Linked DNA regions of Drosophila melanogaster. The protein of the gene in region 2 interacts with the protein of the main gene of each other region in a pairwise test. Each region holds a gene or a part of one and is shown on either strand. Other genes may lie near its edges. The genes, in order: Obp56a, CG14684, CG32137 and ple.

What was found.
Region 1: the proteins of CG14684 (region 2) and Obp56a interact in a two-hybrid assay, tested with the Drosophila melanogaster proteins (one large-scale study listed by BioGRID).
Region 3: the proteins of CG14684 (region 2) and CG32137 interact in a two-hybrid assay, tested with the Drosophila melanogaster proteins (one large-scale study listed by BioGRID).
Region 4: the proteins of CG14684 (region 2) and ple interact in a two-hybrid assay, tested with the Drosophila melanogaster proteins (one large-scale study listed by BioGRID).

Annotation. Positions count from the first base shown.
Region 1 is NT_033778.4:19,693,851-19,700,175, forward strand, and holds Obp56a (Odorant-binding protein 56a), read left to right. Parts: upstream 1-3,872; 5' UTR 3,873-3,919; coding exon 3,920-3,979; intron 3,980-4,218; coding exon 4,219-4,578; 3' UTR 4,579-4,658; downstream 4,659-6,325. Other genes in the region: Obp56b (Odorant-binding protein 56b), read right to left, coding at 4,992-5,345, 5,408-5,467; Obp56c (Odorant-binding protein 56c), read right to left, coding at 6,323-6,325. UniProt on the Drosophila melanogaster protein: Present in the aqueous fluid surrounding olfactory sensory dendrites and are thought to aid in the capture and transport of hydrophobic odorants into and through this fluid.
Region 2 is NT_033777.3:10,702,961-10,709,340, reverse strand, and holds CG14684 (uncharacterized protein), read right to left. Parts: upstream 2,368-6,380; 5' UTR 2,339-2,367; coding exon 1,958-2,338; 3' UTR 1,881-1,957; downstream 1-1,880. Other genes in the region: CG31373 (uncharacterized protein), read left to right, coding at 7-285, 443-754; CG31278 (uncharacterized protein), read left to right, coding at 1,079-1,483, 1,555-1,866; CG31467 (uncharacterized protein), read left to right, coding at 2,607-4,049; CG31391 (uncharacterized protein), read left to right, coding at 4,352-5,794; pug (pugilist), read right to left, coding at 6,193-6,380.
Region 3 is NT_037436.4:13,936,240-13,944,155, reverse strand, and holds the start of CG32137 (uncharacterized protein), read right to left. Parts: upstream 4,907-7,916; 5' UTR 4,698-4,906; intron 3,487-4,697; 5' UTR 3,131-3,486; coding exon 2,681-3,130; intron 1-2,680. UniProt on the Drosophila melanogaster protein: Functions redundantly with BicD. Involved in formation and/or development of mechanosensory organs during metamorphosis.
Region 4 is NT_037436.4:6,711,661-6,722,770, forward strand, and holds ple (pale), read right to left. Parts: upstream 7,866-11,110; 5' UTR 7,414-7,865; coding exon 7,345-7,413; intron 6,356-7,344; coding exon 6,244-6,355; intron 6,013-6,243; coding exon 5,893-6,012; intron 5,767-5,892; coding exon 5,674-5,766; intron 5,290-5,673; coding exon 4,470-5,289; intron 4,175-4,469; coding exon 4,048-4,174; intron 3,709-4,047; coding exon 3,310-3,708; 3' UTR 1,696-3,309; downstream 1-1,695. UniProt on the Drosophila melanogaster protein: Plays an important role in the physiology of adrenergic neurons.

The DNA.
Region 1 (6,325 bases), on a different chromosome or scaffold from region 2:
TGAAATGCCGCTGGCTGCAGATGGCATTTTATAGTGATAATTTCAACTAACTAATTGTGGTGTCATAGAATTCCAGAGACCTTTAATAACGTTTGCATCTCATAAAAAAGTCGATTTTCTCGTTGCTCAGCTTATGCGAAAGTTTAAATAGAAATAGGCAAGAGAAGTATTCTTTTACTAACTTTATAAGATCTCTATGTGCACCCTCTTAACCACCTTAACTGTATATGTACATATTTCCATTGCGATAAGATATTTTTAGCATGTAAGTGTTTGCTAATTTTGCTTTAACTTTATCAGCTATACAATTAACAAGGGGTTTTTCCAAATATTAGGTTGAGGTAATTATAATTAGCCTTAATTGAGTGCATCGAGTACAATATATATGTAGATAAATTTGTTTGTCACGACAAACCAATCAATTTAAATTGTGATTCCCATCCGAAAGCGTCTTACTCATTTGGGTTGTTAACGTTTGTTTAATTTTATTGATAGAGCAATAAAAGCGGCAAAACTTCCCCGGTAGCTCTAGACAGAGATTTTGGCAACATCAAACTCCACGTCCAGTGTGGCTATTAATGTTCTTGCGGCTTTTGAGCATTTCAATTCGTCCCGTTACTTGCTTTAAGCCATTTAGCAAATTATTCGCAACGTGCCTCAACCCTGGAATGTAAAACTAGAAGAGAAGGAAAAAGCAGCGGAGCTGAGACGAGAGCAGACAGCCATCGAAGTTGAATGGAAATTTTTTGGCAAAGCATTTTCAATTCAATCAAACACCCCACACATGCTGGCATTTAAATAAAAATAAACAAGGCAAAGGAATACTTCGAAACACTTTTAAGCATCATTACATTAGCAAATTTCACCGATTTCGGGGTATAGGATGGTTTCGATTGAGACGATGGATGCGAAAAGTCGATAAAAGGACTTGTGTTCATGTGTGTATGCGTTAGAGGCGGAACGGGCGTGGCAGGGGCAATAAGAAAGCACACATGGCCCACACGAACGCGAAGTTCGCTTACTTCCGTTTCCGTTTTTCGGCATTTTCTAATTTCCATTCGCCCCATAGTCGTGGGAAATGTAATTATGGCCATAGAAGAACCCGCAGAACCCTCTGACGTGAGCTGTTGGCCAGCTGTTGGTAGGTTTGGTGTAATTGTCGTTATAATAAATAACTTCAACTGTCCGACACTTGACACTTGACATCAGCTGCAGCGGAAGCGGCAACAGGAGCCGCAAAAAGAAAATCCCCACCCCGTTCTGCATTTCCTTCATATGGGTGCATGCAAAGTGCCAGAAAAACATTTACCATTGCCGCATATTTCAAATGCGGACACATGTAAAAATGCTGAAGCGCTGATAAGGACATTAACATTTGGCCAAACACATAGACATGGCGGAAAGCCAGGCATGGGGGTTTTTGGGGGAAAACTTCCTTCCGCATATGCGAAACATCAAAAAAAAAAAAAATTAAGCGGAAAACCTTCACCTCGTCGCTTTTGACACGCAAATTTATAACGGCAACAGTGGCAAACAAAAACTTGCTATGGCCAAAACACACAAGCGCCCAGACCCTCAAAAATAAAGAAGGGAAAGGCACAAATTTTTGAACGCATACAAATGCAATTTAAATTTACTTATTTAGAACCCCTGGGAATTTCAAATTATTTGCCTTTTCACGCAAATTTAGCGACCATTTTTCTCACAGAAATAGAACTCAGACAGGTGGGTCGTCGTCGGGCCGGAGTTTTCATAGTTGGGGATATTAAGCCAACCCCCTGACATGTGTACACGGGCTGATTCTTGGGCGTAACTTTTTCCAACTCTCATTCTTTTTTTTTTACTTTCCATGGGGGCGATTAGAAAATGCTTCACCCCACCGAAGAAAGTAACCCAAAAGTCTCTGACAAATGCTCTTTGGCCAGCATGTTGTTGTTGCTGCTGTGTTCTGTGGTGATTAATGACGTCGAAAGCTGAGCAGGATCTGCTCTGCGGGGATGCCGTGGCAGCTTAATTTAAAATGAAAATTGTACTTAATTTCTAGCTGAAATTTGGCGGCATTGGACGGGGGGCTTGTAGACTGATTATGCTCTTCATGGTTTTGCCTTGTGCTCTATAGGGATAGCCATCCATAGCTCAGCTCTGGTTCGTTAGAAATAAGCTTGAACAAATATTACATTTTTGCCTTGTTAATGATTCGAAAGTTGAAAAAGAATGTACAAATTTTGAGAAATTAATCCTGTTTGTCTAGATATTTAAATGGTCACATAAGGGAGCACCTTTAACCTTTTGTAGAAAAGCATCACTTTTATTTGCATTTTACGTATTTAACTCAAATACCTAATACGTTCGAATGTAATTTCTTTTAATTAAACCTTTATAAAATTCCTGACTTAATACAAAGCTTACGTCCAAAACAAAGCCAACAAAAAACTAATTGCCACCTGTTAACATTCCTAAAATGCTTTTACTCTCCTTCAAAATCATTATTTTTATAAAGTTTTCAGATTAAATTGCCAGGTTTTTTTCTTACATCCAACAAACAATCTTTGCATGTGTAACGCCAGAGTTTATCACTCAAGTCGGCTGTCCCCACCACAAGCAAATTGAATTAAGATTACCACACAAGGATTTCAAAGCATTTGCGGAGAAGTCAAACAAGCTTTAGTTTATTATTATTATTGCGTCAGAGCGAAAAGTTTTCAGCCACTGGTTGGTCAGGGGGCGGATGTTGGGATGGTGGAGGGGGCTGTGGTGTCTGCGTGTGCGTTGGAAAATTTTCAATCGCAATCTTATGGTTTATTTCTTTAGCGCCAAAGCTACTTTATTTTGACAGCAGACAAACAAATGTCAGAATTGAAATTAAAAGGAAGGCAGCGACAGCAGAAGAAGTCAGTGGAAAACTTGTGAAAAACACGCCCGACTCAAAGATGTAGACGAAGGTTTTTGCGAGGGAGAAGGGATGTCTTGGCCACAGTACGCAGTCCCAATCAGAAACTCCGGATCCCGGCCACGACTTTGGATCCGACTCCGACTCCGGCTCGATTCCATCAGCCTCAGTCTGAGTCTCAGCATCAGCATTACCACCCACACGCACTGACTTTCCTGCATTCCCGCATTTTCTTTTTGTACATTTCACACAGCGTGAAATTTTCTAAATGTCATTTTGCTGTCATCTCGTGGATAATAAGATTACAACTACGCTGAAATAATAGGATTCAAATGAAAAAACTTTGCCGTCGTCGTCTGTCTCCTTGCGCTTCTCAACTTTCAATACGCGCTTGGCCACACCTCTCCGCCCAGATACATAGATATATATCTGAATCAGAATCCGACTGGGGCGTTGTCGGTTGGTTATTGTGCCTTTAGCTTGGGATCTGCCACCTGGTATGGGGCAGCAGTGGAAAGTTTTTGATAGAGTGTAGCGATAATGAGTGAGCAGCCACAATTTCAACTCCAACTCCAGACGGAGTAACTTGAGCGACCTACGATCTGGACACCACTTGAGCCGTCCCTGTCTGTACCATGTCTGCGTTCTATCTGTATAATTGATTCGATTCCCCAGGTTGGACAGGTAGAAGGCGGTTTAATGAACCATGCTTTCATAGCGACCATAACTTCAGATTGTCTACCTGGCCGCGGGCCACAAATAGACGAAAGTACTGGCCAAGATTGCAAAAAAAAAGAACCCAGCTAGACCAAAGGAAATGGGAAAGATAGCAAACAGAAATCTAAAACCAAAACCAAAACAAAAATCAAAAAGCAAAGCCATCAGCTGGGCTTAGTTGGATCACTGCCCGGGGCCATAAAGAGAAACCGGCTTTTATTGGCAACCAAGCCGGGTATAAAAGCCGCGATCCCATCCCATGTCGGCATCAGAACTTCCCCAACGTTCTAACAAGTCAAAGTATTTCTCAACATGAACTCCTACTTCGTGATCGCTTTGAGTGCTCTTTTTGTGACTCTGGCTGTTGGATCGGTGAGTTTGAGAAAACTAAACAATAGAATTATATGGGTTTTAAAGTCTTGAAATATTTTATTGGACTCTAACCCTATAAGATGTAATATTTATAAGCATATATCTACACTGAAGACCCTGACTTGGCTGTAAATATAAAGTCTGAATCTTCGAGCCTTTGGTGTGTGTTTGGAATATATGAAGTAAACGACTTGGCTAAATGTTTTTGTTATTAAAACCTTAAATTATCATTTTCTTAGTCCCTTAATCTGAGCGACGAGCAGAAGGATCTGGCCAAGCAGCATCGTGAGCAGTGCGCCGAGGAAGTGAAACTTACCGAGGAGGAAAAGGCCAAGGTCAATGCCAAGGACTTCAATAACCCCACCGAGAACATCAAGTGCTTTGCCAACTGCTTCTTCGAGAAGGTCGGAACCCTGAAGGACGGTGAGCTGCAGGAGTCAGTGGTGCTGGAGAAGCTCGGCGCTCTCATTGGCGAGGAGAAGACCAAGGCGGCTCTGGAGAAGTGCAGGACCATCAAGGGCGAGAACAAGTGTGATACCGCCTCCAAGTTGTACGATTGCTTCGAGAGCTTCAAGCCCGCCCCCGAGGCTAAGGCCTAAAGAAGTTAGGGATTTAATGCTTGGCAAATTGTGATTCGGGAAAAAATGTAACAAAATTTAAATAAATTCTTTGTCCAATGAAACTATGCTTTGTTTTCCATATTAGGTGTTAATATGTCTTCTTGGTTTGTTTGAGTTTGGGTTAATAGAAATGCAACAATACGTTAAATCCTTGTTATTATTAAATCACCCAGTTTACTTTGATTCAATGCAATCATAGAACAAGTGCATCATTCTGAATCAGAAGGGTGAGTGGCAAATTTGCCACAGCTTAATTGATGCTCTCAAGCCCTGTTTCGCGTAAGCTGATTATAATCCATATTCATGTGTAAGTCAGGTGATTCGGCGTTTTCAATTTGCATAATTAAATGTATGACTGCATTGAACACTTAAACTGCTTTATTGTTTTAATTTTAGGCACTAATACCCTTAACAACACACTTTTCATAGTTGTAGACAAAGTCACAGGTGGCGGCTGACTTTGTGGTTCCGCAGCTGGTAAGCAAACTCTTTAGCTTATCCACCGGCAGACTGCTGAAACGGATCTGGGCCAACTTAACGATCTTATCAGTATTGGGCTTTCCATCGTCACCCAGGAGACCCAGTTTCTTGTAGACGCAGCTGTGATAGCACTTCACCGACTCAGAGGGATTCGCCACCTCCTTGTCGGTGGTCAGCAAATTAGCATCACTGGCAGCAATATTCAGCTCCTTGATGCAGGCCTGTTGAATTTGCTTGTAGGCTGCCAATTCCGCAGCTGACTGGCCCTGTTTTAAAAATGCGAATAAAATGATGAATTATCCCTAAAGCAACGTTTCATCCAACTTACCGCTACTAGTTCGCTTAGAGCGAAAATTAGGAATACAACCAACAAGTAGATAAGTTTCATCTTTCCAAAGCTACATTCACTGTCGAACTGAATTTCGTTCACAATAATATGGCTTAAATACGCGTAACATGCTTAAGTTCCAGACTTAATTTTGCCAATCAAGTTATTATTTTATTAAAATTCAATTAATAAAATTTATCAATTTTAAACTGGGTTATTTTTAATTCAGATCCAATTTTCCCATTTTAACCAGTAGGCGTTAAATCATCGCTGCCTAGATGATCATTCGGGTCAGTGAGCTTTGTTTGGACTTTGGATTTATTTACTTATTGTGCGTGAAATAGATTTTCTTCTTTTAAGATTGATTCTTATGTTTTAAGTGAAATGGCTTTTGTGTTTCTTAGTTTCTACAAACAATTTTTATTCGACATACAGCTGCATATAATAACATAATATGGGTCTTCTTATTAGTGTATTAATGATTGGGAAATGGTTACTTACTTATTTTAAGTATGATAAAATTGCTTACATTCGTTTTCTTCTTTTTACATTCAAATCAACACATTAGTTTACTTAACAATCTGCCCAAAACTATGCTATGGAACCGTTAAAAACATTTAGAAAAAAGTTAAGCCCAAAATTGAGCCCTATAATATGGTATTCAGCTTTTCAAACACATCAGAAAATATTAAAGCTTTTAATTAATAAAAAAAAAACTCTAGCAACTTAAAATTGTTTAAACTAATTACGCTGAAATGCAAAACTCTTGTTTTTATTTTATTTTATAGCTTTAAAACTCTCAAACGCTGAATAAGTTACAATTTAAGTACTTATTCATACATACATTTAAATAATAAGTGGATTTTCTATATAGCAAACACCGATAAGAAATAAGACCTACAAGTACACAGCTATTTA
Region 2 (6,380 bases):
AGAATCATGTCCGCTCCGCCATATCGTCATTTTACCCAAATTGGGGATCCTGTTCTGCGCCAAAGGGCAGAAGAGGTGCCGCCCGAGGACATCGATAGTAGGGAGATCAACCAGATTATTGACGGCATGGTAAAGGTGTTACGTCACTACGATTGCGTGGGCGTGGCTGCGCCCCAAGTTGGAATACCGCTGCGTATTATCGTTATGGAATTCCGAGAGGGAAAGCAAGAGCAATTCAAGCCGGAAATCTACGAGGAGCGTAAGATGTCCATACTGCCCTTGGCCGTAAGTAAAGCTTTTCTTTTCGCGTTCGAAAAATATATGTAAATCTATGCAGTTTTATAAACGTATGAATTTGAGAAACTAAATTTCTGCATACAAAAATATTGCTTATGTGCAGCAACAATCCCGTGATTTCTCATCATAAATCATTTGCTTGCAGGTCTTCATTAATCCGGAGCTGGAGATAATCAGCAGCCAAGTAAACAAGCATCCCGAAGGTTGCATGAGTGTGCGAGGCTATTCCGCTGAGGTGGAACGGTACGATAAGGTCCGGATCCGGGGGATCGGCAAGCTGGGCACTCCGTCGGAAATGGAACTGGAGGGCTGGAACGCACGGATCGCCCAGCACGAGGTGGATCACCTTAATGGAACTATCTACATGGATAGGATGGATCTCTCCACCTTCAACTGCATCCTCTGGGAGCAAATCAACGCAGCTGAAGGTCGATCCGCCATTTGGTTTCACAAGTAATAACTTGGTTGCATTTAATTCAAGGAGCTTTTCACTTTTTTATGGCGCTTTATACAACATATTTGTATATTGTTTGAAAATAAAATACACTTCTGAAATGAATGCGCTGTTTACGAAATAAACTTTGTGTGCGGGGAAAAAGTATTTTATGCACCTAGCATATATTTAAAAGCGCGCCAAATATCAAATCTATTTCCACCGATATATCGATAGGTACATACTTTCACATCCCTAGCCGGTCAGCTGGCCAGTATGACCGTGTTGTGTAACTATATTCCCTACGATTTTGATCGGAATATTAAAGGAGGCTAAACATTTCACAAAATGCACCTGAAACCACGGATAAAAGTATGCCAAGCGATTCTGGGACATTGTCGATCCTTTGGAACGAGTCCTCCCGCTAATCAGTCGTTCAGGAAGTGGTACCAGCACCTGTGGACCACGGAGCGCACAAACTTGCCGCCATACAACCATTTCACCCAGATTGGTGACCCTGTTCTTAGGCAACAAGCGGCTTTGGTGCCCAAGGAGCACATGGCTAGCCCCGAGATTAAGGCCATCGTCGAGCGGATGGTCAAGGTGCTAAGGAAGTTCGACTGCGTCGGCATTGCGGCTCCTCAGATTGGAGTATCGCTCAGGATCATAGCAATGGAGTTCAAGGGACGGATCCGAAAGGAGCTGCCCGAGGCCGTTTACCAAGCCCGACAAATGTCCGAGTTGCCACTGACTGTGAGACTGGGGTCCTAACTAGCTGTGTTCGGAAGCCCAAACCCTATAATACAATGGTTTGCTTCTTACAGATTTTCATCAATCCCGTCCTGACGGTGACCAACTACGCGAAGCTGAAGCATCCAGAAGGATGCATGAGTGTGCGAGGTTACTCTGCCGAAGTGGAGCGTTTCGAAGGTGTAAAGCTAACAGGCCTTGACCAACTAGGAAACCAAAGCGAACTGGCTCTGAGTGGTTGGAATGCCCGGATAGCGCAGCACGAAATGGATCACCTGGAGGGAAAACTATACACCGATCACATGGACCGCTCAACCTTTGCGTGCACCTGCTGGGAGGCGGTTAACACGAAATCCGGACGCGTGGAGATACCCTTCTACAAGTAGTTAAGTCGCTCGTGGATCGTTTCACTATTTATGTATGTATATATACTGATTGAATGGAATTCTATCTGGCAAATGTTCCTCTCGACTGGTTTTAGTCCATTGGTTTGGTGGGTGCACAAACCCGTAGATTGTGGATGGCCGCCCCAAGCGCAGACTTGGCCTTGAAGTACTCCTGACTGTCCCACAAATCACTCTTGTCCATCATGTAGGCAAGCAATTCTTGGTACTCCCGCATCAGCAGACGATGGGTGGCAGCCGTCTTCAACTGTTGCATCTCAAATAGCTCGGAAAGAGTCGGCAGGTCCTCAAGCTCTTGATCACTCGCAGTCTTCAGCCTAATATTTTCGTGCTGGGTTCTCAAAAGGCAATATTCATTATACTGCTCTCGCAGACTCTTGCCAAGATAATTGAGGACTGCAGTGCGCAGAATAAATTGCCGTATGACCGGATCGGCATTAGTGCGGCGGAACATGCTTAGCACAGTCCGGGAAACACCGGTCACCTAAATCAGCGTGGTACCGGAAAATACAAATTCTGAGAATACAGATTGACAGAAAAATCACGCCCTTGGAAATTATTGTATTTGGTCTTTTAAATAATCGGAGTCGCTGCAGCATCTAAATTTCAGTCTTTTTGAGGAACATAAATATTTAACTCTCAATGTAACGACACTGATTTTTCACTGCTTTTGACTAAAATACGATTTTATAAATTTATACCATTATTTACTGCCAAACGCAATGAAGCGCATTCATGTGGATAACTACGCCCCAAAGTACTATAGCGGCAAGTGGTCATGGGACTCGGAGAAAGACTGCCTCCACTTTCAGGCGCACAACGATCTGGAAAACGCAAGAGAGCGCTATATTATGACCAATGGCTACAGGTTCCTGCGCACAATAGACCAGGAGGAGGAGCTCATCTTCCGACAGGAGTATGTGCTACCGAAAAGCAACTATAGTGACGTTGTGGTGGTCGGAGATATTAGAAACTTGGTTCTCTACCTTATGCCTTCAGAATTTCTAACCTACAAGTTCGTTGAGTTCATGTACGAGCGGGATACGCACTTGTTGCTTCACTCCCTGATTATATACTTTGAGCACTATTTGCGACTGGTCGAGTTTATACTTATACGTCGGGATGAGCTTTCCGGTCCCCTGGGTCAGGTGCAGAGCGAGCAGACCAACGATATGAAACGAACCTTTTCGGTATACTTAAGCCAGTATCGTATGCTTGTTGCACGAAACTACTGCCGCATCATCGGGGGCGAGGATAATATGTCCAAGTACTACCACATGAAGCCGATTTCCAACATTTCAGCAACAATCCACGATAAGTTTTTCCATGAGCATTTTCTGGCAGTGGCCATCCAAATAGTCTGGATCTGTATGCATCGCCGGGCGTATTACGTAATCGAAATGGAGATCAATCGCCTTTTCCGCTCCGAGCACTTTGTTTCCGCCCACCCAGAATACCTCGAGTTCACGGAGGCGGAGCGCAGTCTTCTCTACGGCAGAAACAAAAAGAACTACAATTATCGAATTCAGGAATCGCCTCTAGTCCAGGAGCTAAAGCTGGTTCCTGAAGAGGATTTGCCCATTTTGTGGATAGGCGAACGCAAGTACAGAGGAAACGATATCCGCATTGCCGAGATTGAGCTGGAGTACATTGTGCCCGGTTCGCAGCTCAGCTTTATAGATGTATCGCACGGCATCATGGGCCATCCCAAGAGCCTCTACAACACGCTTCTTAGTCTCGACTGGCCGGCTGTCCGCTTCTCAAACTTCTCGGAAAAGTTCGATCCGTACCATATAATCAGGAGACCTCACCTGCAAATACCCAAGATAGGTGAGCTTCAGATGCGTACAATGAAAGAGAAATATGAACATTTCTACAAGCTCTGTAAGGTTCATGAGCGGGTCACACACCATCAGATCTGCAAGTGGGTCAAACGAGACATCAACATAGCCTTCTTTCGGTCCGGAGGTCTACTCACGAACGTAGTCTCGCGTTGTGAAAAGGAGTTGGCAAGCACATCTTCAGGACAAAGGGTCGATCAGATCATCTCCAACTATTTTAAGATCATGTCCAAAATACGCAAGGAGGATAGAGATCCGGAGCATGCATCATCTACGCGTAGTAGTATTGCATCGCGATTTAGTGTAGGCAAGGCAAAGCGGTAAAAAAAACTACCTAATTTTATACGTTAATTGCAATTTTTGCATATTATTATATATACAGAAAATCGGAGCTTTAAAGCACTGACACTTATGGATTGCTATTTTATAATAAATGCACGAAGACGAAAGACATTGGCATCCGATCAAGGGTATGGGTTTCGTAGGTGGGAGCTTGGGAATAAAACTTCACTTTAGGCCTTTAAACATGAGCATAATTCCACTAAACTTCGTCACGTACACATCAATTTAAATACACTTTAAAAACACTAAACACAACCCGATCTTGGTTTATCTGCGCGACTACGATGAAAAGAGTCCATGTCGATAACTACGCTCCAAAGTACTACAGCGGCAAGTGGTCATGGGACTCGGAGAAGGACTGCCTCAACTTTCAGGCGCACAACGATCTGGAAAACGCAAGAGAGCGCTATATAATCACCAATGGGTACAAGTTCCTGCGTACCATCGACCAAGAGGAGGAGCTTATCTTCCGGCAGGAGTATGTACGCGCCAAGTCCAACACCAGTGACACAGTGGTGCTAAGAGATATTCGAGATCTGGTGCTCTACTTGATGCCTAAAGACTTTCTAACCTACAAGTTCATTGAATTCATGCATGAGCCACAGGTGCAGTCCGTGCTCCACGCCTTAACATTGTACTTTGAGTACTACCTACGCCTGGTGGAGTTCGTCCTGATTCGCAGAGATGAACTCTCTGGCCAGATGGCCCAAATTCAGAGCGAGCAGACCACTGAGATGAAGAAAACCTATTCCGTTTACCTGAGCCACTTCCGCATGCTATTAGCCCGAAACTACTGTGAGATTATCAAGGGCGAGGGATCTATGGCCAAGTACTACCACATGAAGCCGATTTCCAACATTTCAGCAACTATCCACGATAAGTACTTCCATGAGCATTTTCTGGCAGTATCCATCCAAATAGTCTGGATATGCATGCATCGCCGAGCGTATTTCGTCATCGAAATGGAGATGAATCGGCTTTTCCGGTCGGAGCACTTTGTTTCCGTCCGCCCTGAGTACCTTGAGTTCACGGAGGCGGAGCGAAGTCTTCTTTACGGCCGAAACAACAAGAACCTCAATTATCGCGTCCAGATCTCTCCGCTGGTCCAAGAGTTGGAGCATGTTGTGACGGAGGATTTGCCCATTCTGTGGATAGGAAAGCGTAAGTATAGGGGCACTGATCCTCACATCGCTCAGATCGAGTTGGAGTACGTTGTGCCCGGATCGCAGCTCCGCTTGATTGATCTGTCCCATGGAATCCTTGGCCACCCGAAGAATCTCTACAACACCCTTCTGAACCTCGACTGGCCAGCAGTTCGGTTCTCAAACTTTTCGGAGCAATACGACCCATATCATATCATCAGACGAAACCACCTGGACATTCCCAAGTTGGGTGAACTTGAAATGCGAAAATTTGGCGAGAGTTACGAGCACTTTTACGAGATCTTTCACTTTTTCGAGCCAGTCACCCATTCACATATCTGCAAGTGGGTCAAACGGGAGATCAACATAGCGTTCTTTCGGTCCGGAGGTCTGCTCACGAACGTAGTCTCACGATGTGAAAAGGAATTGGCCACCGCATATGAGGGACAAGAAGTGGACAAGATCATTGCCAATTACTTCAAGATAGTGTCTAACATACGAAAGGTGGACTACTTTGAGTCGCCTCGTGTGAGTGACGTTAGCACAGTGAAGAAGGGGAACTTTGGAAAAAGACAAAGTACCTAAAAAGTCGGCTTGAAAGTAGTCAGCAAAAATCATGCATTGTTGGTTGCGATTTTGTGCAAGAATACTACCTTACTTTTGAGGGCCAAAAATAGGTATTCGTGTAATTTATATATTTCCAACCTGTCTACATATAAAAAAAAATTCATTTATAATATCATGAAAATATATAAAAACTAAAAATATTTCGTTTCCATTCTTTAGCTTCTGAAAAGTAAAAACTCGATAGTTTTAAAGAAAACTCAAATCGTCAGAAATGTATATTAGTTTACCGACTTTTAAATCTTATCTCTATATCATTTATATACAAGTTAAAACGATAAATTTGTTACTACTCTGGAATTAGATGTGAAAAGGCGTTGAAAGTTATTAGGAATCTTCTCCCTTGTCCAGGTTGCCGTCTAAAATAGGCCCTCAATTTCTCCGGTTTCCGTATTCAGATCGATATCGTAGATCGCCGGGCGGGTGGGAAGACCCGGCATTTTGGTGACCTCACCGCACATGGCGACCACAAAGCCGGCTCCGGCTGAAACATATACGTCCTCAACGTCCAGGGTGAAGCCCTTGGGGGCGCCTTTGATTTTGGCAT
Region 3 (7,916 bases), on a different chromosome or scaffold from region 2:
TATACAATACTATATAGTATACGAATGGGATGGGCCTGGTTTAGCTGACCACTGGTTCATCCATCCAAGCAGCGAAGTGACATTGTGCGCTCCATAACTTTTTGAAGAAATTAATTAGATACGCGACCAGCCATTTTGCATATTGCCAAAAACACGCAAATAAAAGTGAATCCAGCGAAAATGTGGCTCACGTCACTTTGCTAAACAAAGACTAAAAGGTAAAGTCAAGGTGACTAAAATTCAAGAGATTTATGCGGCAGCTCCACGCCAGAATTCCCTAAGCAATAATTGTTATTAAAAAAAGAAACAAGCAAATAATTAAAGCGACAATTGGCGTTGTTCAACTGTCAGGTGTTAACCTTTTTTTTTTGGACTGGCCCAATTTCATTAGTCTAAAGCGATTTCCATTTAATGGCCAATGGAAAATGGAACATGGGAATTTCTCACTTTTCGGCTTTAAATTGGAGCGCTCTATAATAAACTTAATGGTTTTTTCGGGTGCCAAGCGATTTTCATTTAAATTGTTAATGGTTATGGAATGCATGAGGTGAGCAAGCAAACTATTATTTTAATGGGAATTTTACGGGATTAAAACACAGACTTTGAAGACACGTAAAAACTAAACTCGAACAGAGAGAGCATTTTATTATTATTGAACTTAGTTTGATATTTACAATGTATAATGTATACATATATATTGTATAATTTTGGTTTTAAACTCAATGAGGGCATATAAATTTAATAAGCAATGGAGTTGTTCTCGATTTTCAATAAAAAATTCATTGCACAAAAGTTTTTGCATATCAAAAATGACTCAAAAAGACTCGAACATATGTACAAAATTTTCACGATGACATCATCTGACTAAATATCCAGGATATTACGCGACTAGCCCCCCCGCAATTGGCCTTCGCACTTTCATTTCTCAATGAAGATGAAGTCACTCAACGTGCTTAACTACAAAAGCAAAAAAAAAAAAAGGAGAATACAAAACCCAGTTAAAGTGACTAAGCCAACTACGTAAATATGGCCCAAACCCACGGAAAATATGTACCAACGAAATTATTCAAGTTCAACGCATTGCTGTGTCCTCTGTTTGGGTTACTCACACCATCAGGTGGTCCCCAAACCATCCTCACATTTCCTGTTCTCTTTTCGTGCATTGAATTGCCATTAATCGGCGTTGAAGCCTAATTGATAAGAATACATTGTTGTTTACCGGTCGGTCAACAAAAGTACATTAGCCTAACTATCGGTTCAGGATGGAAAAGCGAGGTAACTAAGTTTGAGGCAACCAATATGCTAATGTGAACGGCCACGAACTTGAGCCGCGGCTTGAACTTCACTTGGAGCGATTGCTGGAACGGGTGTTTTATGTTTACCTATCTTCTTCTATTTCTTCTATTGTCAGTTACCTGGAAGTATCTGTAGTGTGTGTGTGTGTGCGTGTGTGTGAACAGGTGACAGGCGAACGAACCGCACCCACCCACACAGAAACCACCCATTCGAGCGGTTCAAGGTCGGGCGGCAGACATAGACTTTGGAAACATTTGGAGGTGTTGTGAACAGACTTTGCTTTTCCTGCCATGTTATCAGGAAAGTGCTCGATAAAGCCAATTTTTAGAGAGACTTCAGAAGAGCTCTTCAGCTATTTCATACAAAATGTGTAGGGTAGAACTTGTGATGGAACAAAAATCGATACCCTTACGTGATACACTATATAGTTCAGTAGTTTACTGCGCACACACACACACACAGTATGTCATCGTCCATAAAGTGACATGACTGTAACCATTTTTGTTTGTCTAAATAGTTAAAGAACCCACCCCACAATATAAATTGCAGTTGACAGTTTGGGGAGTTTGTGTGTTCAGTTTACAGAGCTGCATTGGACAGGTGCTGTGTTTCAGCTCTCGAAAAAAATCCATATTGTATATGTATTATTTAATTCTCCCGACCTGGGAATGCCAGCAATGCGTCAATAGAGGGGGTCATTTACGAACACATGTCCGCCAATAATCAATGCAAATCATCAGGTGAGTCAATCAAAATTCTGGTACTCAGGTATAACTGCCGTTGCCGATTTGATAAATGCGCCGGCATTTAGAGATAACTATTAGATTGTTCAAGAAATCATTAGAGGAAAAGGTAGGGAGCTTAAAAAGGGAAAATAATAAATGGGTCTGAATTTACAAATGTTGGTTTCACACAATTGGTAGCTAATATAGAGATAGAAGCAAAGTGATTATTTTGTTTATTGCTCACACTTTAGTAAATCAGATAGAGAATAGAGATAAAAGAACATGAAAGCATTCCCTCAATAAGCAAGATATCATTAAACTAATAATAAAGAGTGCTTAGATCTCTTCCATTCATTTAGAAAACATAACAAAAATTAATTTTTTCATTTCCCAATTCTTTAAATTGCTGCTTAACCATATTCAAGAGATACATAACTATCATCTCTATGATCTTTTAAATTGTAAGTGTATTAAAGTATAATATGCATTGCCTATCTTTTAAGTCACTAAAGTACCTTCCAAGCTATATGTCCTCTTCCTAAATTTCTTTTAATTCTAACCAATTTTCCTTTCCCCCAAATAACTGACTTCCATTTCAATTGTTTGCCATTTATAATGGCAATTCCACCTGTTAACTTTATATGTGTTTCATGACTCACCTCAATTTTGCTCGAATAGTCCTCGATGAGCTTTTCCTGCTGTTTGACCAGCTCCTCGTTCTTCTCGAGCAGTGCCTTGCCCAGTTCGGCGGCCAATAGGATGTCCGACTCCTTCTGCTGCAGCTGGGCCCAAACATCCGGCTCCTGGTCGTGTCGACGTGCCTCCATGGCGCTGATGTAGTGCTCTAAATCAATCGAATCCCCAATTAGTGACGAATAGTCGAGGTGGTCGAAGCCGGAGTCGTCCGACCGGAGTAGCCCCCCAGCTCCAGCTCCAGTTCCAACTCCGATCGAGTATTGGCCAAACTGACGTGGTCGCTTCGATTTGTTGCCACCGGAGCTGCTGCTGCTGCTGCCGCCGACGATGCTGTTGTTGTTGTTGTTTTTGGTGGATATGGATGAGGCAATGGCGGCAGCGGTTATAGCATTCGCTAGCTTTGGTTTATGCATGATCGTTAGCGGGCAGGCTTGGACTTATTTCAGGCGGGTAGGTGTGGTATGGTGTGTACGTGATATTACGGGTACGGATAATAGCAACGAACCAAATTTACAGACATAACACACACACACACACGCACAGTAAGTTGGATGCAATTAATATCAGTTTAGGTTTTAGTGCGATGCAGAGATCACAATTTTGGTAGTTGGGTTTATCGTTGGTTAGGTGTTCAGATGGCTCTGATCTGGTCGTAGGATTAGCATTAGCTGGCGCGGCGATACGATGATATATCCGAGCATAGTTCCATGGACACCAGCTGCTCCCAAAAGAGAGCAGACCCGTGGTTAAAGCGACTGATGTGTTTGAGCTGCAGTTGATTTCGGTTAGATATATAAGTATAAGTACACAGCCGTAATGAGAATTAGCATTAAATGTGGTATATATATATATGTATGCCCGCCAAGACGGGTCTAATCGTTGGCCAAAAGGAGCGACGGTCACGTTGAGCGTTTGCCAGCACGTTTTTAGTTACTTGTTATTGGGGCTTTTTTTCGGTTTTTGGTTTTGCTAGGGTCAGGGGTGTTTTGGGCAGGGGGGGGGGGATAACATATAACTACAGTGTTAAGCAAGAGGGTTAAGTTAGTCTTTAGTTAAGCTTCATGCGGCTTGGATATCAAATAGGGTTTAAGTTTCTTGCGGATTGGGGGGCGTATTGACATGCGTGGATTTATACAGGTGGGTGGATATTTATAAGGCTGTTAAGGCAGATTATCCAAAAAGAACTTCAGTAGTAGTTCCATTAAATTTAAGGGTATTAAAAGTTTATTTACAGAGGTTGCTTTAGTTAGCGAGGATGTACCAATGAGTTTAGTATGAGTCTCCGCTCTAGGTTTAAATTTCGAAATACCCAAATATATATACAATTAATGTTAAATGATTTTTAAAACATTATCGGCCAACTAAACACAACAATAGAGCCAAACGAAGGTGGCTAGAATCTCTCAAAGTCCACAGATCTCGTTTAAAATTTGGTCCGGTTTTTTTAAACTTATATATATTTTTTAGCCGTTTTCATTTGTTATATAGAAAATTCATTTGGCAAGCACTTCACGCTTAGCTGCTTTTGGTAGCAACAGCAACTGTTGTTAAAATGTATAATACGCTTCAGGCTAAGCTTTTAGCCAACACTTATTTTGTTATTTATGTGCGCTTTGTGTTTATTTTATTTTATTCGTTTTATTTTGATTTTTTTTTTGGAAGCAGCACAGACAGCACAGTTCACAAATACACAACCGATTTGGCTCAAATTGTTGGTATTATTGTTTTGCATTTCCGCTTATATATGCCGTTTTTGGCCAGAGTTTGGCATTATTATTGACAAAACAACAAAAATAACGCGCGGATTGCATGGGATATATTGGTCTAATTAATTCCCCCAAAACGGAAAGTATCCAAAGTATCCAGCAGATACTTTCCACTTTCGCAAGCGCGCTACAGTCTGGCCCTATATATCTTTTAAACTATTTGTATATATATATATATAGCTAACTATATCCGTATATGTATGAGGGCAGAAACCTCGGTCACGACGACGCTGCTCCACTCCAAAGCAGAACTTCCGATGTCCGATGTCCGATTCTCCGATTTTCGGATTCTCCGATGCCGTACAACGCGCGCTCGCTTCGCTTCGGTTACGATTTTCTGGCTTTCCCCAGCTTTTCAGAGGGCGGCTTCGCGGGGGCGTGGCGGATACGTGTGTCTGGCGCGAACGTTCGTTACTAACTGAATGGCGCTGAGGCCGCCGTGCTACGAAAATTGGCAAAACAAATGAGTAACCAAGCGACGACGACGACGAACGACTGGCTAAGCCTCGTATCTTGGCAACAACAACCAACAACATCGGTTGGCTCTCTTAGGTGGCGGTTAACAAAGAGAGTTACCAGTGTTCCACCAGGGTTGTCGAATAATAGCAACGAAGCAGGGGCGATAATCGCAGTCGAGTAATATTATTGGTTACAAAGCAACTAAGATAGCAAATTGCAATTTAGGACGCAGATAACTGATAATAGACTATTTATGGCCTAAGATATCTTCTTTAAGTCAATAAACATTTGGAAAACTGGTTTTCTGTTCAGCTACTGATAGGCATATCGTATTAGGCAAATCTCGATAGCCAAACCTAAAAATAAAATGTCATGATTACTTGGATTATTTTGGACAGAGATTTTGCAGTAATCTTACTTTAAAAATGTAGATCTAAAATCTACAAGGAAATAATTTAAGCCTTAGCATTGTGGATGAATTTTTCATGAAATCGCTTCTTACCTGGCAACCCTGGTAAAACCAAAACACAGCTCCAAAGGTAAGCTTCACTTGGCGCTCTTTTGCTCCGACTTCCTTCCCTTTTAACTGACATATGGTTGATTCGGCTCTACTCTCTTGACTGCTCTTCGCCGTTTGTTTTGCATTGGGCCCGACTTACGAAAGCGGCCAAGTGAACAATAATGAAACGGAGTGACGTTTCGAATGGGGCAGGGGGGCACTGGGGAGCGTGGCCAAAAGGGAGGAGGGCCAGAGACCTGGACCTCCAAAAACCACGACGTGCATACACACATGTACCCAAGCGTACACATTTCAATGCAAAATTTACATACGACAAGAACACAAACAATGGGCACCCAAGAATGGCAATAACAATGGGTATACACTAAGCAATTAATGGGTATATGTTTGCAGGAACTTTATTTCTTCAAATTTTTAGATTCGCGGTCATTTTGCTCTAGGCATCGAAATTATGTTAAAAAGCTAAAGTGCTCCGGAAGGAAGTAATTACAAGCTGTAAAAAATATTCAAATTGTTTCATTAACATCTGAATTTAATCTATATATTATACAGCTCAAAGTAAATGTATCTTTAAAATTTATTTAGAGATCAGTACTAATTACTGAAAATCAGTTATGAAAATGAAATATTCTATCACATACCCTATAATCATACTTCTAGCACATTCTGCTTTTGAAAATGAAAATAGGTACAAGTATGTGACCCCAATGTTTCCAGTGCATCCAAGTGAGGAAGATTTCTAAAGAGGGGGCCGTAGACATGGTCTATGTTAAAAAGCTAAAGTGCTCCGGAAGGAAGTAATTACAAGCTGTAAAAAATATTCAAATTGTTTCATTAACATCTGAATTTAATCTATATATTATACAGCTCAAAGTAAATGTATCTTTAAAATTTATTTAGAGATCAGTACTAATTACTGAAAATCAGTTATGAAAATGAAATATTCTATCACATACCCTATAATCATACTTCTAGCACATTCTGCTTTTGAAAATGAAAATAGGTACAAGTATGTGACCCCAATGTTTCCAGTGCATCCAAGTGAGGAAGATTTCTAAAGAGGGGGCCGTAGACATGGTCAGACCGTCTAGTGCGTGGTACTAAACCAGAGTCATGCCGGCTCCTCACCGCCCAGCGCCAAACTTCTCAAACAACATGCACAATAAGACACTCAAGTGGCCGGGCCAAGTGAAGATGAAGATGAGCTTCAGACCGACACCAGACCATTGTTCTTGGTGGCCAACGCCATCACCATCACCGTCTCCGCCTTCAGATCCATCCATAATGTTGATGTTGCGTGGCCGCTTGTTTATGTTGGGCTACTGTATGGGCTACTGTTTGGCCATTTACCAAATTGAGCTTTCGGATGATGGCCTAACCAGGCGTAACTAACTTTTTTGTGTTTTACTTGATTTTCGCTGGCCAGTGAGTGAAACTTCCGTGCTTCCGGCGCAGATCGATCTATAACTATAACTTTGCCGCACTGCCTAATGAGGAAGGGTTAGTGGCGTGTCTTCCTTTGAACATTTGTGGGGCATCTGGTTGGAATTCTTCGTGGCTCTGTTCATCTCCGGTTTCCATGCTGCAGTTCACCTGCAATCAAGTGTTCTTGAGCTGCCTTATTGTCTTACACTCTCGCTCTTGTTGAGCTCGGCACTCCAGCCATCCATTCATCCATCTTGGGGCACGGCTACCATACCGATCCGTACCATAGCATAGCCACCTAGCCCACCTAAACTGGTTTCGGTCTTGCTCTTGCTCTGCATTGTATCGCAGTTTTTTTTTTTTTGTTTAATTACTTCTGCTTCTTTTTATTTTGCGTTGTTCTTATGGGAGGTTGATTAACTTTTCTGGCATGTTGGTGTCACTTTTTTTTCCAAGCAAATCAGAAATAACATAGAAATTCCACTTGGCCATGGAGTTTGTTACACTTGAAGGATTACAGCGAATGAAAAACAAACCTCGAGAACTGTATTCGAATTTAATCAATTTATAATTTCATTTAATTATTAGTGATTTTGGTCAAGCCATCGTAGTTAGGCTAATATAAACAATTCAATCGATTTATGCACCTTGAAATATTTATCAGTTTTAATATACTTATCAGTTTGATAGCTTTAACATATCTGTTCGATAAGGGAGTAAACATATATCATATACCATATATATACCATCATATATCATACCATTAGAGGAATCTCTGGTTTATACAACATGCATACGTTCTACGTTTCATACGTTATATGAATAATGATTACGAGTAAATTCCTAATGAATTAATCTGTTTTTTTTTTAGGGTATACCACATGTCGTTTAGTCCACAATTTGGTGCGCACATACATCAAGTCTTTAATATGTACAATAATTATGTTGTTTTTAGCGCTCGGCATGAGTCAACGGCAACAAGTTGGGGCATTACCGGGCGTTTTATGGTCAAAAGTTTTGGTTTCTGCG
Region 4 (11,110 bases), on a different chromosome or scaffold from region 2:
CAACAAACCCGTGCCAGCCTCGCGTTTCCTGCAACCCTAACCCATTTGCTCAGTGGCCTTGACAGAAGACCATAAAACGATAGCACCATAAGAACCTTATGCCACTGGGCATACATACATATACTGAACAGTCCCACCAGCTCCAACTGACCAAACGGCACGTAGTCCGCCGGACTTCGTCTTGGCAATCGAATCAAGTGCAAATGTTTGCCCACACCAAATGTATGAATGTACGCTCAGTATTTAGCCAGAGCCAGCCTTTTAAACCTGACCCAAATCAGTCGGACAATTAACCGATTGTGGCCAACTAAAGTTGATAAATGCCCCAGCCTTAGCTCCAGCTGAACTTCGCCGACAATTCATATTTTTATTATCATGTAATGCCATAATGGAGATATATCAGCAATTGTCATTAACTATTAAATACCAAGTGCTAAATGGGTATACCGAAGCAGCCGTTCTGTTGGCAATACATGTTATTTTTTTAAAGGTTCTAATCCAGTTTATTTACTTAACACAATAAACTGAAAGTTAATTGTTGAACACGCCCATCTTATGGGAATGTTAATGCATTAAATCTTAACTCAAGCTTATTTTGTGAAACAATAACCAAATTGTGTTCTTATAAGCTAACAAATTAACCTTTAATTTGAGCACCTATACTATCCTACCCAATGTCATTTAAAATATAAATTAGCCCATATGTCTTACATAAATTCGATGATATTAGCCTATGGGAATTCCCAAGACTTGCTTTATAAATTAGCTTAAGCCAAGTGTGAAATGAGAGACTAATGAAGCATAGAGATTCAAGCAATTCCCATATGTGTCCATGGTGTTCAAATAATTAATACAAACGATTCTTCTATCTCAAAATAAGAACAACTGCATTTCTTCAATCTGATAAGCTGACATTCTTTTCAGCACACCTGCGAAAGATTATAGGTACTACTACCTTAAGCAATGCAGTTATTGGAAATCCCCTGACTTTTATGCCCAGTACAACCCTTTTGATGATCGGCACACCTGCGAGGGCATTTTAGATTCGATACATCTGTCCCTTATCGTTCTGATTTGATATTAATATCATTATAATTGGACGACAACGTGGGCGTTCCCACGAGTCCACTCCATATCGCCTACATCCGATCGCTGTTGCTACTCGAGACTATTAGCACATTCAGTTTCAATTCACACAGCCAATTATTATATCACAATAAACCCGTACTCGTTCACATATTATAATTGGCATATGATAAATCCGCTCAGGTGTTTATCGGATTTTTTTTCCTTACCACAATTAATATGCTGAGGTAGGTCATGTTTCTAAAACAGCTGTCGCTTTTGATAATCGGTAAAAAAAAAATATTAAAGTACAAACTTGATAAATATAAATCAACATCTTGATCACCGAAAATTGGCAGATGAAAAATAGTTTGGGTAGGAAAGCTCCACTGCAGTAATTAATTACAGCATGTTCGCGTGCAATTAAGACTAATTAGTGGAGCCTGCTAATTAAAATAAATTGGCACAGGTTGAGAATAGAATAAAATATTTCCATCGCAGGCCCCTTTCCAATTGTTAATCATGACTTCAGGATCTCTGGCAAGTCAAGGTGTGCAAATAAAAAATAAAAAAATCATTGTAAATTGCTGGGGGCGTGCCACAGCCCCTCCCAGAATTTTAGTTCGTTTTCAAGTTTAAACGATTTCAACTTTATTCATATAATAGCGATTAAATGTACATATAGAGAAGAATGTGTATATATATATATTTATATATATATTTACGATATCTGCACGTTTTGTGCTCCATTCAAACATATAATTTTATTGAATTTTTCAGAACCAACGAAGCCTGGCTTGGGGACCAACTGCGCTTTAAGTTGATTATATATATAGATTTATGTGCGAATATAATTAGTAATTAGTTTGGCTAATTGCTTGCAGAAATGTTAACACTTGGTTGGCTTTCGATCCAATTGCAACTACAATACATCGAACAATAACAATAAAATTCCATGCTACGTTAACTATAAATATGTAATATTCTTGATCCCAATGTTTTACTTTGTTTACTTTGAAATATTTTGATTTTAATTACTTTATAATAATACATATGTATTGGTCCAAGGTTTTTCGTTATTTTATATAATTTCATCAAATTTGTGAAATATTTTCTACATAGCTCGATTTTAGTTCACATGAGATTCACTTCTTCTCACCCATAAATATATTTATCATATTCCTCGATTCTACTCATTAATTTTAAATAAATATTCCATTTTGATGTCATAAAATGTTCCCTAAACAGATTCAGACTTTAGAGTTTCGAATTGCCAAAGAAGATAATCAAATGAAAAAACCAAAGAGTAATTATTTTTCAATTGCATTTTTAATTTTATTAATACACAAAACTTAAATAAAATAATAATGTTTAAACTCTACATACCTACAATACAATACGTAATAGTCATAAGTATAATAATAGATAATAATAATAATAGTACACAATAGTAATATTGTCGTTTACAGTTATTGTACAATGTAAGAAAATTCTGTTTTGTTTTCCATTTCATTTTTTATCTTTTCCGTTTTTTTTTTTGTTTGTTTTCCATTTGTTCCTTGCTCGATTGTTGTATCTATATCATTTTTGTTTAGAAATACTCTCTCTAAATGAAGCTTCCTATACCGGGAATACTATATCGCGTGTCTATATAGTCTAGGTAAATATTGTGAGAGGCAAAATGAAGATAATAATAATACAAAAACAATTTTTGTCTGAGTATACAATCGGTTTTTGTGTGGTACTTTGCCTACTAAGTGCGGATGTATCTGAACTTTGCTTTCCCAGCTTTTCACTTCACTTAATTCGCTTTGCTTTGCTTGGCTTGGCTTGGCTTTGTTTTCACATCACTTAAACGTCTAAAGATTTTTTGGTCCAATAATAGTTGCGGTGATAAATATGCAGGTTGGGTGGTGTATCGGGTGATCAACAAATAAATATGCTTGATTTTTGTGTTTTTTACCATGTGCGCGATTCGACAATTACAACTTTTCGATGACAATTAAATAAAAATTAAACAAAAAACAATAAACAAAAAATAAAAAATAATGCGCGATGCCTTAATTTTGGTTTAAGGATTACGTGTACGAGGGATTGTGCGGTATGTCAATTTAAAATTAATTTGTATAAATGAGACCGTTGCACCTGTATGTGTATGTTTGGGTGGTGGGGGTGGCTGGTGTTTTTTTGGGCGATGTTTTTGGGTGCTTCTATATATCATACATATATCTCCCCCCCATCCACTTAGAACGGGCGTCGCAACTTGGAGATGGCGTTGGTCAGATGCAAAATCTCCGTGTTCATCTGGTGCACCAGAGTCTCCAGCTTGTCGACGGAGTCCAGCACCTCGACGCGCTCGGTGTGCGGGTTGAAACGCACCTCGAATGGACGCGACATGGTGCTCACCCAGCGACGGAACTTGTCCTTGGCATCCTCGAAGCTCTCGGCCACATAGTAGATGGGCTGGTACTCCTGATCCTGGTAGGGCTGCACGGCGGTGGATGCGGGCTCGAAGGCGCGGTGCTCGCACTTGTCGCTGATGGCATGGAGCAGCTCACCGTAGGAGCTCAGGAGTCCAGCACCGTAGGCCTTGATCTGACCATGTTCCTTGCAGAGACCGAACTCAACAGTGAACCAGTATACCTGTAGAAATGAAATGGTAAGGAACCAATGAGTAAATAGGAAGGAAAATAAAAGCAAAGGCAGATAATGCAGGAAGTTGTATGACTTATAAGATCAAGGTTTTCTGAACTTAAAAACTTATTTAAAATCACAATTAAGTGTTTTGAAATGCATTAAATTGTATCTGTAAACTATATGAATAAAAAGAAAAAAATTATTCTGGCATTGAAGTTCACTTTTCCTCTTCGACTTTGACAGTGACTAAACAATGATCTTGGTTGCGAAAAAAAACTAGCTGCGTCATAGCTGCACTTGAGTCTAAGGTCGTTACATTGCAACTCAATTAGAAAATCAACTCACCGTGGACAGCTTCTCGATTTCTTCGTCGGAGGCACCCAGCGAGGCCAGTCCAATCTCCTGCGAGAACTGGGCGAAGCTGGGATCGGCCAGCAGGGGCATGTGACCCAGCAGCTCGTGAATGGAGTCGCTGTAATGGCATAGAATAATGCTTGTTAAAAGTGTGGAAAATGTGCTGGCATAAGGCAATTAGTCTGGTTAAATGAGCTGGGCAGCCTGCCGCAGTTCCTGTAGCCAATTTGCCTGTGTTCCAGGCGACAAAAGTTGCTTGGGAAAAGCGGAAAAGGAAACCCAACCACCCACACACACACAGAGGCAGGCGGCAGGCAGGCAGGCAAATGCAATTAGGCTAGGACAAAGAGCCTTTTTCTCCCCTTTTTGAAGTGATTTTAACCCCCTAGTAAAATATGATGATAGATACTTACGGCTCGGGGGTGTGGTATGGTGAGTTAACGTGGCGCACATACTGGGTGCTCTGGAAGATGCGGAAGGCCAAGGAGGCAAGGAAGTCCCGGGCAGTCAAAAGACCGGCGGCAGGACGGAGAGAGAATCCGGTGTTCTTGCGCAGAAAGTCGGACATCTCCTGCAACTGGGGCAGACGGGTCTCCACGAAGATCTGCTCATCCTGGAGCTTCTGGAAGGCGGCCCGGTACTCGGCACAGGCGTGCTTGGGAGCCAGATCCTGAACGGTCTTGAACACCGAGCGCCAGGTCTTGACCTCCACATCGGAGTAGTCGATGAATGGGATCGGGTCTCCGTACTTGTAGGCGAATGCGATCTCGGCAATTTCCTTGCGACGCTGGCGGTATACCTTGTCGGCGAATCCGGGGTGGTTCATGTCCAAATCGGGCTCGTACTTGGTCATCAGATGGTTGCAGTTATCCAATTCGGAGGCGTGCTTGGGGAACCACGGAGCCTTGACATTCAAGTTATTGTCGGCCATCAGATTCATGCTGCTGAAGGAGCCCGACTGCCTGAGGGAGCGGATCAGCTGCAGCAGATTGCCACGGGTCATGTCCAACTTGATGAGGACATCGTGGTCCACGCCCTCCACGCGCGACTGACGGGACTCCACATGCTGGACGGTGCCGTGGAAGGTTTCGATGGCCTTGAGGATGCGACCCAAGGAGGAGATGCCCTCCTTGAGGCGGACCACCAAAGCGGCACTCTGCATGGCAGCCTCGGCATCCGAGGATTCGGAGGCGGCATTGGCCAACAAAATCTCGTCCTCGGTGAGACCGTAATCTGCAAAAGGGCCAAAAAAAAGCGGGGATAATGTGATGGTTAAGGATGCAATCTTCCAAGGCTTAGGGTCACGTAAACGATAAGCGAGCTACGTGGCAGTGGCAGTGAGACGGTTGCCAGGCAAACGCATTTCGTACTTGTATTAAGTCGAGCGTAACAAATGAAAAAGGGAAATGCGACATTTCCACAGAGAGAGAGAGAGAGAGAGAGAGAGCGAGCGAGCGCGCCCACTCACAATTGTCCGTGTGGCTGAGTGCTTTTCCTCTGCCCTGGCACTTTATCATATTAAGCACTTAAATCAATGTCGCACGCTTTTCAAAAGCCCCTCTCAGAAGTTAAGTACTACTTATGGTTGGCTGCTGGATTCTAGAACCCCCTGCTCACCGTTCTTGGTCGGCTGTTGGTTGCCTTCTGGCTCCTGCGACTGCGACTCCGACTGCTCCTGTTCAACGCTCTCAAACTCAACATCCTCCTCAACTAAAAGCGAATGAAATAAAAATAATAATAAAGCCCATGAAAATCATAATCAAAATCAAATCAAAGATAATAGGCTCAGAAAGAGGAGTAACTGGCATGGGAATTGAAATGGAAATGGATATTAACCTGGAACATATTCCTCCAAGGGCAGGTTCTCCAGATTGGCATGCTCGTCCTGGAGCTCCACATCTTGCTCGGAGGGAATGTGCTCCTGAGCCTGCACAATGCAATCTTCCAGGGAATCGTCTTTAAAATCATAAAAATAAAAACGAAGGCAAATAATAAATAAAGGGTTAAAATGAATAAGAAAAAAACGCAAATCTATGTCAAAACGAATAAAATGAAATAAAAATTGCAACTTTTTAAGTTTTTAATCAACAAGTAAAGCCCTAGCTGCAAAATTTCCCTTTTGATCCCAAATAGAAACCCTCTTTGGAGCTATTTTAGTGACCCACTTGTTGGACCCTATCCACTTACCATTTGCCTTGCTGCGGGCCTCCTCGAGGACGGTTTGTTTGGTCTGCTTGACCACCAGGGTCTCGAAACGGGCATCATCCACCAGGCTGCGACGGCGGGATGGATAGCCATTCTGGAAACGAAAGCGAAAAGATTGAAGTCCGTGTTAGTGACACTGGCAGGATGTGGAGCGGAAATTAGACGATTGCCTTGACCTTCAAGCCAGGGTGGCTTTCTTCGGCTCCACGCTTGGGTGGTGACTTTGAGCAGAGTATTGCGCAATTTTGAAAATATTATATAAAATGGTGTGTGAAAGCGCCGTCTTCAGATCTTTTTCTTTGAATAAAGCTGGCTATTCATGGAACTGTATTGATTGTGATTCAAAGCCACGAATGGTAATTTAATGCGATGTCGCCGCTTCGAAGCGGGCAGGTGCGAAGATAAATGATATGTGACTGAGAAATCGAAAATCCCCATGCGATTCTGGCGGGAAAAAAATGCAACTGGCGATCGTTAAAGGTTTTTTTTCTTTCTTTTTCTTGATGGGGGGAAAAAGGTTTCCATCACTTGCAGTTTTCACTGTCAGCTCGTTTTTTTTTTTTTTTGTTTGTTTGTTTTCTTCAGTTTTTTTTTTTGGGCCACCGCTTTGGCTGATGAAAGATGACCAACTCATTGAATCATTTATATTGATTTCATATTTTTTGTTTTGCTCGGACGCAGCATAAACATAAACAGAGACGAGTCAACAACAATGAGGCGCGACTGTTTCGGCCAGGCTAAGTGCATGGGGCCCAAAGGCAGCCACTTTCACTTATTTGTTAAATAATAACTTAACACACAACCCGTTGTGTCCGTTGGCGATTTGGGCCTTTCGATTTGGGCCGCCTGTTCTTAGAGGTGTGACTTAATGGCCAACCGAGGATTGAGTTTGGTCAAATTGAATTGGCGAAAAAGAAATGCGGGATCACAAAAATGGGCTCGACTACTGGCCGGTTAACTGGTTTTTTTTTGAAAACACAAAACCTTTAGATAGTCACGTAGACCAAATCTAGTCACTCATTTGCTTCTTTTTTTTTACAATTCGATTTGGAAATTGTATGTTTTGCTGGATTTTCGACTCACCTCAATACTGTAGGATTTCTTGATGGCGAACATCTCGCGGTTCTTTTGGGCTGCTGCAACGGCCATCATTTTTTTTTGTGTGTTTGGGTTGTTTTCGTTTGGGGTGAACAACAAAAATTTACGCAAAGTGTTGGCAAAAACACTTAGAATACTATTTGCTTATGTGCTTGGTTACGCTTTTCTTGTTTGATTTGCAATAAGCACTCGAAATGTGTTGACACTTTCACTGCTTATTGGCGATCTGGCTGGGTGGTTTTGTTTTTCAAGAAAATCGCTCCTGGTACTGAACTGTTTGCGTCTAGAATTGAGCTGGACAAGAACTCTCGACTCTCGAATTCACGGCGGGATATATAGATGGTTGATCGGTTGAACTTTAGCTGGATCCTTTCGCGAACTCGAAACTGATGTGGTGATGTGTATTATCCTTGTCAGCTAAATTGTATTACAACAAACAGAGTCAGCAAACTACTTGAGGCTGGGCACAAGTCTTTAGGGCGAATGATAGCGAATCAATGCATGCTTCATGTCGAGTTGCCGCCGCTTAAATACCCCCAGATTCCGATTCCGACGGCCAAGTTAACGAACGTTTCGGCCGATTGCCGACGATTGTTTGCTTCACCAAACGACGATGACTGGTTTTCGCATGACGCGACTGTGACGTAGTTGCCCAGCTGTAGCTGGGTTAAAGCCAAGATGCCGATGCCGTGGGGTTTCCTCTCACCAGCCAGCTAACCAGCTAGCCAGCCAGCTGAGTGGGTCGAGAATCGCGGGGCCTGACTCGACTCAACTTGGTCGACCAAGTTCAAGTGCGGCAACAGGCTAGAACGTCGCATTGGCCATGTTTTTGTTGCTCTTGTAGCTTGGCTAAAAAGCGGGGTTAACCATTAGCGCGTGCGCGTCAATCGGAATGGTGGTAGAATACCCCAAAAGTATTCAGTCAGTCGAACGGGAGTCATTTGAAAAGCCTCAACAGGTCATACAGAAAAAACCAAAACAAATCCAAACAAAGCGAAGCTAGTCCATGCCAAATGTTAAGCATACGCCGTGTGTGCACAGAGCAAAATAATGAAAATATATGACATTCTTACTCTGTAAGTTGTTTTAGGGAAATGTTTTTAACCACTAGAATTATTTTAAAGAAGTAGGTTAAAATTATTAAGAATGTTTTAGACAATAAAAGCACCTTACGTTTATGATACGTTCCATTTTTCTAGGTGTAACAACAGTCGAAGATCTCGTTCAGTTTTAGAACCCAGCAATTCGCATTAGATCCTGAATGACTCAATCGAATCGCGTCAGAACTAGAGCGGATGCTGAAGCGGATCGTATAGGGACCAAGTGAAAGTGAGCTGGAAAACAAAGTAATGGTAAACAGGAAGTACGGATCACATGGCTGCGTGCGTGCCCGAGATGTAAGTAGGTGGCACCCAGCCATATCGATTAAATTTTAAAAGCACATTTAACAACTAATTTGCATGCGTAAATGTAGCACATTAAACTAAGCCCGGGCGATAAGTACAGGCACATTACAATATCTATGGCATAATTGAAAGCCCCGTCAAAACATCTGGCGATTGGGATTTGCATATGGCAGCTGACGGATTACGAGACCGACCATATAGCAATCTATATAAATAATTATATATATATTCCTGTCCTGTAAGCTGATAACGTTGGCAAGGCTGCCGCCGCTTCTCAAATTGGACTCGGGCCGCCAATTCGAATGACATTTTCAGTGGCAGTGGCAGTGGCAGCATTATTTTCAATCGTGTTAGCTTTTAACCAAATTCAGTTAGCGGCGATGTCGAGATCGAAGCAAATTTGCCATTGATCTACATATGTGCACTTGTACTTGCCAACAATCCGGTCATCCTTGCAGCCTGCATCTAGCAACTAACTAACTAACTAATGCCGATGTTAATGCGGACCGTTCAAATTAGTAGATCGAATCGTTTGATTGAGCTAACGAGCCCGATAATGAGCTAACACATCACATATACGTCTATTTGCTTCGATCCGCATTAAGTTATTAAGGCATCTGGAGTAGCAAAAACATAATTATCGATCTGATAGATCCATTATACAAATTGGATCGATAGAGTGGGATTGGTGAGTTAATAAGTTTGTGGGAGCTAGGAAATACATTTGACAACATCGAAAAGCTTTTTACTTAGAATATCGAGGGTAATAATTAATAAATAGCACTTACTGGAAATAACTTAAATTATTTAAAAAATATAATACTATCCAACTAGCAGTAAACTGCGTACTATATTACCCATTAGTCACTGGCAAAAAAAGTTCCCACATTAGCCTTAATACCACATTCACATTCGGCTAAACATTTACTTCCGATTTTCGAGCAATATTTTAGGAAGCCAATCAAATAATAATTTCAGCTAAATGTTGTTATAGTTTAAGTGCCTACAGATTAAAGCCAGCATATATATATATATATATTTATATCTCGACCTCTCACATGTTCAAATACCTTCACGGCTGGGTCAAAACTTTTCTTCCGACTTAAGATTTCTACTATTGTTCTGTGAGCCGGGCTGCATGATTAAGGCACAGCCTCTATTTTCGCTGTTTAATTCTCTTACTTGTTGTATTAAAATATTTAAATATAATTGTGCACGCCGCATACAAGCGTATTCTAAAGGTATTAGATATGAGACGGCGAACAATATGCAAAACGAATATACATACGAGCACACGCCCAAGGTTCCAGAAGTCACAAAATTGTTTCAGATACACGGAGTCTGAGCTTCAAGTCGTGATTCATGGAGGCGGTAGCCGTTCACTGGGATTTCCTTGTCCTTGGCCGTGAACCTTTTAACGGTTGACTAGCTTCTAAGCGATCTCCCCATCTAAAACTTCCCTCCATGCCCGACCCCTTTATGGGTCAACCGGATTGTTTGTTTTATTGAAGTCTCATGATCAAGCCATAATCAGTTAAAAAACACTCTACACGGGCGTTTCTATCTCCCTGCCATTAAACAATGTTTAATTGTTTGCCACAAAACATTTTCGAAATGGCTCCTTTGAGAACTGAGTTTGGCTCGCAATTGAAGGTCGATGATTTTGGCTTTTGCAATTTTTTAGTTTTGTTACATAAGACGGATTTACTTTTTTCTTTGCGTTTGTTTTATATTTGATCTTTTTTCTTAGACCTAATGATCAATCATCAAGATAAAAGAGCGTTCAAACAAATTAGATTCTATAATTAAAAATTTCACAGGCGGCAATTGCTGGAAACGACCTTTTCGGGCTTTATTGGGTTTTTACTGTGCCACACAAAATCATTGTTCTATTAAAAAAAATAATAATAATGTGTTTATGCTTGCCTCGGTCACGTAGTCCACTTTTTTGCCCAAAATGGGAATATCGAAGTACAGTTTCTTTTTGTATCCATGCCATCAATCATTAATGTCAGCATGAAATGCTAAAAATTTTTCAAAAATCCGGGGAAAGCAGTTCCTGTTGGCCATTTGTTTGATGTTGAGAATAAGAATAGAAAGCAATAAATATTCCAATTATGTTAATTAGATAGTTTTATTGAGATTCTTTGAATTAAAGATTATGATGTTAAAGTTTGGTAAACAGGGGGATTTATTTTGACCAAAAGTTTGTTTACGCAGAAACTTAAAGAAAATCTTAAAAACAACAAAAATAAATGAATATGCTTAAATTAAATAAAAAATAACTAACTAACTAAAGTACTTTCTTTACAAATTTACTACCAGCACATTTATAGTTTAATAGG